Lonchura striata: one gene and its partner. The protein of the gene in region 1 binds, or shares a complex with, the protein of each later gene. Links are inferred from orthologs where the notes say so. Each region holds a gene or a part of one and is shown in the gene's direction. Other genes may lie near its edges.

What was found.
Region 2: the proteins of PDHA1 (region 1) and PDHB are in contact, whole or in part, in a crystal structure (PDB 3EXE), measured with the Homo sapiens proteins. The link is inferred for Lonchura striata from reciprocal best matches to the Homo sapiens genes PDHA1 and PDHB. Residues at the interface, in NP_000275.1 of Homo sapiens: Ile87, Arg88, Gly89, Phe90, Glu137, Leu138, Thr139, Gly140, Gly148, Lys149, Gly150, Gly151, Met153, His154, Asn164, Gly165, Ile166, Val167, Gly197, Ala198, Asn200, Gln201, Gln203, Gly228, Met229, Gly230, Thr231, Arg235, Ala236, Asp296; in NP_000916.2 of Homo sapiens: Glu59, Gln62, Tyr63, Ala66, Asp84, Pro86, Ile87, Ser88, Glu89, Met111, Phe115, Gln118, Ala152, Gly153, Val154, Ala155, Ala156, Gln157, His158, Pro297, Val323, Arg324, Val325, Thr326, Gly327, Ala328, Asp329, Val330, Met332, Pro333.

What each region holds. Positions count from the first base shown.
Region 1 is NC_134604.1:101,797,758-101,801,664, forward strand, and holds the start of PDHA1 (pyruvate dehydrogenase E1 component subunit alpha, somatic form, mitochondrial), read left to right. Parts: upstream 1-1,008; 5' UTR 1,009-1,009; coding exon 1,010-1,171; intron 1,172-2,393; coding exon 2,394-2,408; intron 2,409-3,789; coding exon 3,790-3,858; intron 3,859-3,907. UniProt on the Homo sapiens protein: The pyruvate dehydrogenase complex catalyzes the overall conversion of pyruvate to acetyl-CoA and CO(2), and thereby links the glycolytic pathway to the tricarboxylic cycle.
Region 2 is NC_134614.1:15,787,003-15,790,909, reverse strand, and holds the start of PDHB (pyruvate dehydrogenase E1 component subunit beta, mitochondrial), read left to right. Parts: upstream 1-1,434; 5' UTR 1,435-1,463; coding exon 1,464-1,595; intron 1,596-1,749; coding exon 1,750-1,857; intron 1,858-1,928; coding exon 1,929-1,991; intron 1,992-2,074; coding exon 2,075-2,110; intron 2,111-2,222; coding exon 2,223-2,508; intron 2,509-3,194; coding exon 3,195-3,305; intron 3,306-3,872; coding exon 3,873-3,907. UniProt on the Homo sapiens protein: The pyruvate dehydrogenase complex catalyzes the overall conversion of pyruvate to acetyl-CoA and CO(2), and thereby links the glycolytic pathway to the tricarboxylic cycle.

The sequences.
Region 1 (3,907 bases):
GTGTTTGTTTTTCTGAGCAAGAACTAACCAAATATATGAAAAGTTAGGCTTCTTCACAGCATCTTTATGAGATGAGAGATGGCTACCTCCTTCCTACTCTGTGTTACAGACAAAGTGAGGGAAAAAATCACATTAGCCACAAGTGTCTTTATTAATGGAACGGGGGGAAGCCAAGGAAGGAGGTGAACAGTACAGTGGGGATCCATATGAGGCTGTATTTTGGAAACAGATAGGACTTTCAGTCCTCTCTGATGGAGGTGAGGTAGTTTGAGAGGCACATTTTCCCTGGAAATTATGCTTTAAAAATTAATCACTTGTGCTGCACTTGAGCTTTGTGCAACCCGCAGGAATCAAGGACTCAGCAGACACAAGCACTTGTGCTGCCAACAGGTGAATGAGATTTACTTTCCGGGTGTTTTTTTTGTTTTGTTTTGTTTTGTTTTTTTGTTTGTTTTCCGCCCCCGGCGTGCCCCGCAGCCGGCAGGGAACGGAGGCTGGCTGGCTGCAGAGATCGGCAGCTGTCATACGGTGGGAGGACCCTGCAACACCGAGTTAAATCTTAACTTTGCTGTGCATTTCCCAAGGGACGGATGCCTGTGACGTTAAAGGGAAACCGTTTCAACACTTTATACTTTTAAAAGCCAGGGAATGCGCTCACACGGAGCCACAGAATCAATGAGGCTGGAAAAGATCTCTGATAAGCTCGAGTCCAGCCCATGACCCGACACCACCACGTCAGCTGGACCACGGCACTGAGTGCCATGTCCACTCTTCCCTTAAACACCTCCGGGGACGGTGACTCCACCGGCCCCCTGGGCAGCCCATTTCAGTGCCAAATCACGCTTTCTGAGAAGAAATTCCTCCGAAGATCCCAAACCCCTTGACGCCGGGGCTGCGTGAGGGACCCCGATCTCCCCCACACTAATGACCTTTCATGACCTTTAATGACATTTCGCCTCTGGCCGGCAGGGGGCGTTGGCCGGGCGGCCGCCGCAGCGCAGGCCCGCGCATGCGCAGAGCGCGGGGGCGCAGGCCGGGCGGCGGTCGCGGCCGAGGCGGCGGCAGGAGAGCGGCGGACGGGGCAGCGCTGCCCACCCTCCCCTCCATGCGCAAGATGCTGCTGGCCGCGCTCTCCCGATTGCTGCAGGGCCCGGCGGCCGCCGGGAGGACGGTGAGCGCGGCCGCTGAGTGCGGCCGGTGCGGCCCGGCCGGGAGCGGAGCGGTGCGAGGGGGCACGGCTCCGGGAGGGACGGAGGGAGCGGCCCGGGAGCGGGGGCCCGGCGGCGGAAGGGAGCGGCTGAGGAAAAATTAATGGGGAAAAGAACCGCGTTGGTTTTTCTTTCCCTCGCTCTGACGAGCCCAAGTGACAGTAAAATGGTGGTCGCGTCAGGAGCTCGGTTCTTAAGCCGATAATGGCGCAGGGCTTGGATCGATACTGGCCGTGCTTACTTAGACTGCGCGGTCAGCTCCCGCAGGGCGATCCGCTCGGCCCGCTTGCAGTTCAGCTTCTGACTGCACTGCTTGACCTCCCTTCGCTCAGCCAGCGGCCCCTTTCTACCTCTGCATCAATTGTGTTTCAAAGTTCGTTATTTTTTTATTAGTGTCACTTCTTGTATTTTATGTTTGTTGTGTGAAAAATTGTGCTTTTACCGCTTCATTCAGCTTATTCCACTGTAATGACTGTGGCCACGAGGAAAAATTAACCCTGCTGAAAAAAAAACTTGTTGGTAAGGCCAGAGTTAAAAGGTACTTTTTTGGTAACTGGAAATCAGGAGCCGTTTTGCCATGGAGAGCAGATGTGTTGCTGCAGCCCCCTTCCGAGGCAGCTCTCTCACCCAGGCATTCACTGTATGAGGATGACTGCATCCATCAGAAAAACACAGGGGAGAAAATTTACTGGAAGCTGTCACTATCTCTCTTTGGGCTGCATATCTAGGAGTATTTCCTACTTCACAATAGAATTTCTAGATTAAATTTTGCAAATATGGGTGCCTAAAATTTGTCCGTTACTGCAAGTACTTGGCCTGCTCTGGAGATACTGTGTTCTCCTGGAATGCCAAAGTAAATCTGGTTCAGATATTTCAATAAAGATTTTTTGGATCCTACTGCTTACCAAATATGTAAATATTTGTCTTGTATTGTTCCTATGGCTCTGCAGTGAAGGCATAAATTAGCAAATAAATAGAGGCAGACTTAATCTATAAAGCAGTATCTCATATATGCTTTGAGCATTTTCCAGAGTGTACAGATGGATTTCCATGTATAGAAACTAGCACTTGCAGTGTTCTATTCTAGTTGGATAATAATTTGCTGACTTCTCCTCCCCTCATTATTTGATACAGCTACTTACTCTTCTTTTTTTTTTTTTTCCCTTCCAAATGCTGCTAACCTAGGGAGCCGTTAGCGAGGTAAGGCCTCAGTCAGTCTTGTCAAGGTTTACTTTTGATAGATGTACTGCCTACATATCAGGGCTTTGGTTCAGACTCCTCAGTGTGCTTTTAACCAGGAGTTTAACCAGGTGGCCTAAAGAGATCCCTCCTGACCGTGGCCATTCTGTGATACTGTTAATCCATACTGTGGATTTACTTCCAGCTCTAGAAGTAAAATAGCTTTTCTTCACTGATAATACTGATACATTGTGGTAAATAGTGTAGAAACTAGGTTTAAATTAAAACTTCTAAATATTTAATCTGATAACAGGGCAGGGTGAATGGGGGCAGTGTTACTGATAAATCTGATCGATATGCAACAGAGGAGGTAACCAGGATGGGTTGAGAATTTTCTCCCAAGCTTGACACGTGTCAGTCAGAGCTTTTTTGGAGATGGTGACCTGAACATTCTCAAAATTTTGGTAGAATCTACCTTCAGCTGGAATCTACCTCCTGGCTGAAGGAGCTACTGAAATTTTTGTGTAACTTAATTAGCAGTATAGTCTTGCCACTAAAGATGCAGTGTTCCTTATGCTGTGGCCACAGTGCATGCATGGACATGGGCCATCCTGTCTGATGCTGCAGTGAAACTTGCTAAAGTCATCTCAAATCACCACCATTCATTAGTCAACAGCCCGTGTTCCTTCTTTCAGAGGGACCAGTAATGTATTTTTAGACATCCTTCCTATCTCTCCTCTACCATGCCACCCTTTCTGTTGTTCTGTGTTTCTTGTATCCTCAGGAACCTTCTGTGTTTCCACGTTATTAGAGTAGCCATAGTACTGGCCATGCTGTCATAGAAATGATGTTCTCTCTCTCTCCATTTTTATGGCTTTGAATTCCCCCAATTTCTCTTCCTATTGAAAAGAAAAAGTGAGAGTAGTTTACATTTCAGATATCTGCTGTATTTCTTTTGTTTGGTTAGTTTTGGGTGTTTTTTTTTTTTTTGTTCTATCTAGTCAAAATTCCATTTAGCACAGAGTCAGCAGTCAAAGTCTGTGTTGGTTGTCTCTCCTTATATTGTCAGCCTGGCATGTGAAGGGATAAAAAATTATTTTTGTGGTTTTGATGATCTTCATTGTCAAAAGTTTTGATACTTACTAGGTTTATTTTAGATAATCAAGGGTATTACCAGTTTAAATTCTCTTTTTCTAATCTTAATTTTAAATAATGGGTTTTAAAGGATTTTGATATATAGACTAAAAGTTCCCTAGTCTTCTGGGATATGCCACTGCTGAGTCTAATTTATAAGTTATTTCACTTTGGGAGTACTCTTAGAAATTACTTGAAAAGTCACATACTTTTACTTGATAATGACATTTAAACATTGCTCATGCTTTGGTTTTGCCTTTTTTTTAAGGCCTCTCGAGTGGTGGTAGCATCACGTAACTATGGAGACTTCGCAAGTGAAGCTACATTTGAGATTAAGGTAAAGAACACTTAATACTGGCATTTTTTGTAAGCATTTGTTAGAGATC
Region 2 (3,907 bases), on another chromosome or scaffold:
ACTTAGCTCTTGCTTTTCTTGACCTGTTTTTTACTAATACACAGTCTTTACCTCAGGCAGGATGGAAAAACACTCACGCTAGCCACTCAACATTTTCACTCCTTTATGTTTAATTGCTTCACTATGAATTCCAAGCTCCTGAAGTTTCCATCCCTTGCCCAAGGAGCTCTATGACATTCTAAGTCCTGATTCCAAACCTTTATTTGAGCCCACATTCCAGTACAACTTTGGCCCTCCTATAAGAGACCCAAAAGAGGACTCTAAATAGCCAGCCTGGTCCTGCTGAAGCAACCCAAGGCACTCAGCCTTCCAGGACCAGTTATAATAATTGGGGTTTATCCATGTACTTTGCTTCTGTGATATTAACCAATGTTTTTCCAATGAGAAACATATCTCTGAACAGTTTAGGCGGAGGGCAGGCGTCAGAAACATCGAATCTGCCTACACACAGGTGGAGCTTAGCACACATACGGACCAAGGAGTGACAGGTACGTGGGACAGCAATCCCCCTGAAAGCCCAGAGTGGGGTCCAGGGCTTCAGCAGGAGCCGGGAAGTGCCCGTTTCCATGCCAGAAGGGCCAACGAGACCGTGGTAAAAGAACTCTCCCCCGGATCAGAGTGATTCAGCAAAGACGCTGGAGCTAACCCGTTCTGCCTCTCTCCCCGCTTTAAAGTGACCCGGGAGTGCACGGCCCGACCCCCGCCCCGGCCGGAGCCCGGCTCTGCCTGCTGTGCCGCGGGCGGCAGGAGCCGCTCCCCGCCCGCTCCGCGGCAAAGCCCGCGGTCCCGGCCGGGATCCCCGCCGGGCGCCGCGGCTCTCACCCGGGCATCCCCGCCGCGCCCGACCGGGAACGGGACCCGGTACCGCCTGTGCCAGCCGCACCCGAACCCGGGGCCTCCGCTCCGTGCGCCCGGCCGCGCACGGCCCCGGAGCCCGGCCCGGCTCCTGCCGCGCTCGCCGCCCGTCCCGCCGCGCTCCCGTCCGCAGCCCCGCCGGGGCAGCCCCGGGCTCGGCCCCGCGCCCCGCGCCCGGCCCGGCACTCACGGCGCAGCTCTCGGCGCTGAGGCGGAGCCCGGCGGCAGCAGCGGCGGCGGGGACGGTGCCCGAGCCCGGAGCGGAGCCGCCGGCGCGGGCGGGGACGGCGCGGGGGCGTGTCCCGGCGAGCCCCGCCCCGGCGGCCGGGGGCGGGGCGGCGCGCCCGGGCCGCGCGTTCCCGCCGCCCACGGGGCCGCCCGGCGGCTCGGGCGCGTCCCCGCGCGCGCGTCCCCGCGGGGCTGCGCGGGCCCGGCCGGGGCCGCGGGCGGGGCGTTCGGGCGCGCGGCCCCGCGGGGGCCCCGCGCGCCCCGCTGCCGGAAGTGGCGCAGGGAGGCCGCGCGCCCCTCGCCGCCGTTCGCGCGGCGCGGGCGCTCTCGCGAGAGGCGGGGGCGGGGCCGGCGGTGCAGGGCGAGAGGACACGGGCAAGATGGCGGCGGCGGCCCTGCGGCACCTGGCGCTGCGCGCCCGCCCGGCCCCGCACGGCCGCGGCGCCGGCACCCCGCTCCTGCGGCTCCCGCAGCGCCGGGGGCTCCGCCTCTCCGCGCCCGCCGCCATTCAGGTAGCGGGGAGCGCTGCCGCCCGAGCGGGGCTCGCGCCCCTCAGAGAAGGGTCTGGCCCCGGGGCGGGCGGGCGGTGAGGGGACTTCGGCCCTGGGCCGAGGTGACTCCCGGCGTGTGGGGAGCGTGTCCCCGCTCAGCCCGCCTGTCTCGCAGGTGACGGTGCGGGACGCGCTGAACCAGGCGCTGGATGAGGAGCTGGAGCGGGACGAGCGCGTCTTCCTGCTGGGCGAGGAGGTGGCACAGTACGATGGCGCCTACAAGGTACGAGGGAGGCGTTGGCGGACAGGGAAGGGGCCTCAGGCGGGCGCTGACTCCTTTCTCCTGCCCTGCAGATCTCCAGGGGTCTCTGGAAGAAGTACGGGGACAAAAGGGTGATCGACACCCCGATATCCGAGGTCAGGCTGCCCTCTCTCCTATCGTGGTGATCCCTCCATCAGCTGCTCCCTGGTGCTTATCCCTTGGTTTTCCTCTCTTTCAGATGGGCTTTGCAGGAATCGCTGTTGGTGCTGCTATGGTTTGTACATTTGCATTTCTCTACTTCTGGTTTTAAAGGTTAAACTGTTTTTATGTCAAATAGCATACTTCATGCTTTTATGTAAAAAAACATATTTCAATACATTTAATAGGCAGGGTTGAGACCAGTGTGTGAATTCATGACGTTCAACTTCTCCATGCAAGCGATCGACCAGGTGATCAACTCTGCTGCCAAGACCTGTTACATGTCTTCAGGATCCATCTCTGTTCCCATCGTCTTCCGGGGTCCCAACGGCGCCGCGGCCGGCGTGGCTGCCCAGCACTCGCAGTGCTTCGCCGCCTGGTACGGCCACTGCCCCGGCCTCAAAGTCGTCAGCCCCTGGAGCTCGGAGGATGCCAAAGGGCTGCTGAAAGCATCCATCCGGGATGATAATCCAGGTGAGCCTGGAGGTCGTAGCAATACCTGGCAGCCGATCCTAAGGAATGGCTGGTTTTCCCCACAAAAACAAAGATTGGTTAAACCTTAAAGCGCTCAAGGTTGATTGGCTGCAGGTGTAGGGTGTGTAAAAAGACACAGAGGGATTAATGCTTTCCCTCCATGCTAACAGAGTGATTTTGTACTGCTGCACAGGCATCAACCAGGAAACCTGGAAGCATTTATAAATCTACCATAAAGGGTTTAAAAAGGGTAAAGATGAGTTAGGAGGATTATATTATTATATTCCTGCATATATAGTGCCTATATAACTCAATTTTATAGATCATGAAATTTAAATGATAAATTCAGAATGTCCTTTTTTAAGAGCAGGGCAACCTTTGACTTTCATTTTTTCACAAACAGTAATTAAAAGTTTGAAATCTTTCTAAAACTAGTGACTGTACTGTCATGTACCAAAAGTAAAATAGCTCACCTAATTTCTGAGTAGTTTTAGAAGTTTTTTAAAATATTTCATTATTGAAGTAAAGACTTAAGATTTACATTTTTTAAAATTCCTTCTGTAAACATAGTCCTCACTCCCTTGTTGCCTGGGTGGGTTTACTGTCCTGAGCTGCAGGACTGTTAGTGGTCAGTGCAGGCCTGTGCCTGCAGGTGTACATGCTAATCCAAGTATGTTTCCTTCTAGTTGTGATGCTGGAAAGTGAATTACTCTATAGTGTTCCCTTTGAAATGTCTGAACAGGCACAATCAAAGGAGTTTATTATTCCCATTGGAAAAGCTAAAATAGAAAGGCAAGGTAAGCTGAGAATGCATTTGTTTCCTTATTAATTGACATGCTTGGAGACTTTCTAACCTTTGTCTGTTCAGGGTACTGCTGTCACGGGGCAAAGGAAAGTATTTCAAATATTCTTTTATCCAGTAGTGTGGTTTCGTGTTCTGTTGCCCTTACAAGGAAATATTACCTGATTGTCCATCTCTCAGCTTAAAAAACTCCATAAAGGATTTGTTCTGTAATATAGATTGGGTAGTGATGGCTCAAACAGTTTTCTCCTCACCTAAGTATGTGATTTTGGTCAAAAATGCAAAAAGAGATCATTGTAGTGTTTCAGCCCACTTGTTCATAATTTACCCCTGAACTATATGAACTTTTGAATAGGATAATCTGAAAACTATATTAAATTCAAGGGCAAAATTTGTGTCTTAACATGACCCTTCCGCTCTTCATGTTATGTCTGGGCTCAGTATTTCAAATAAGAACCTTAAATTTGGAAGTGAATCCTAATGCTGCCTTGAAAGGAGCCTGGTCTAGAAAAAAACTTAAAATCTCAAGAGATTTTTTTTCTACCACTTGTGTCTGTTGTAGGAACTCATGTTACATTAGTAGCACACTCAAGACCC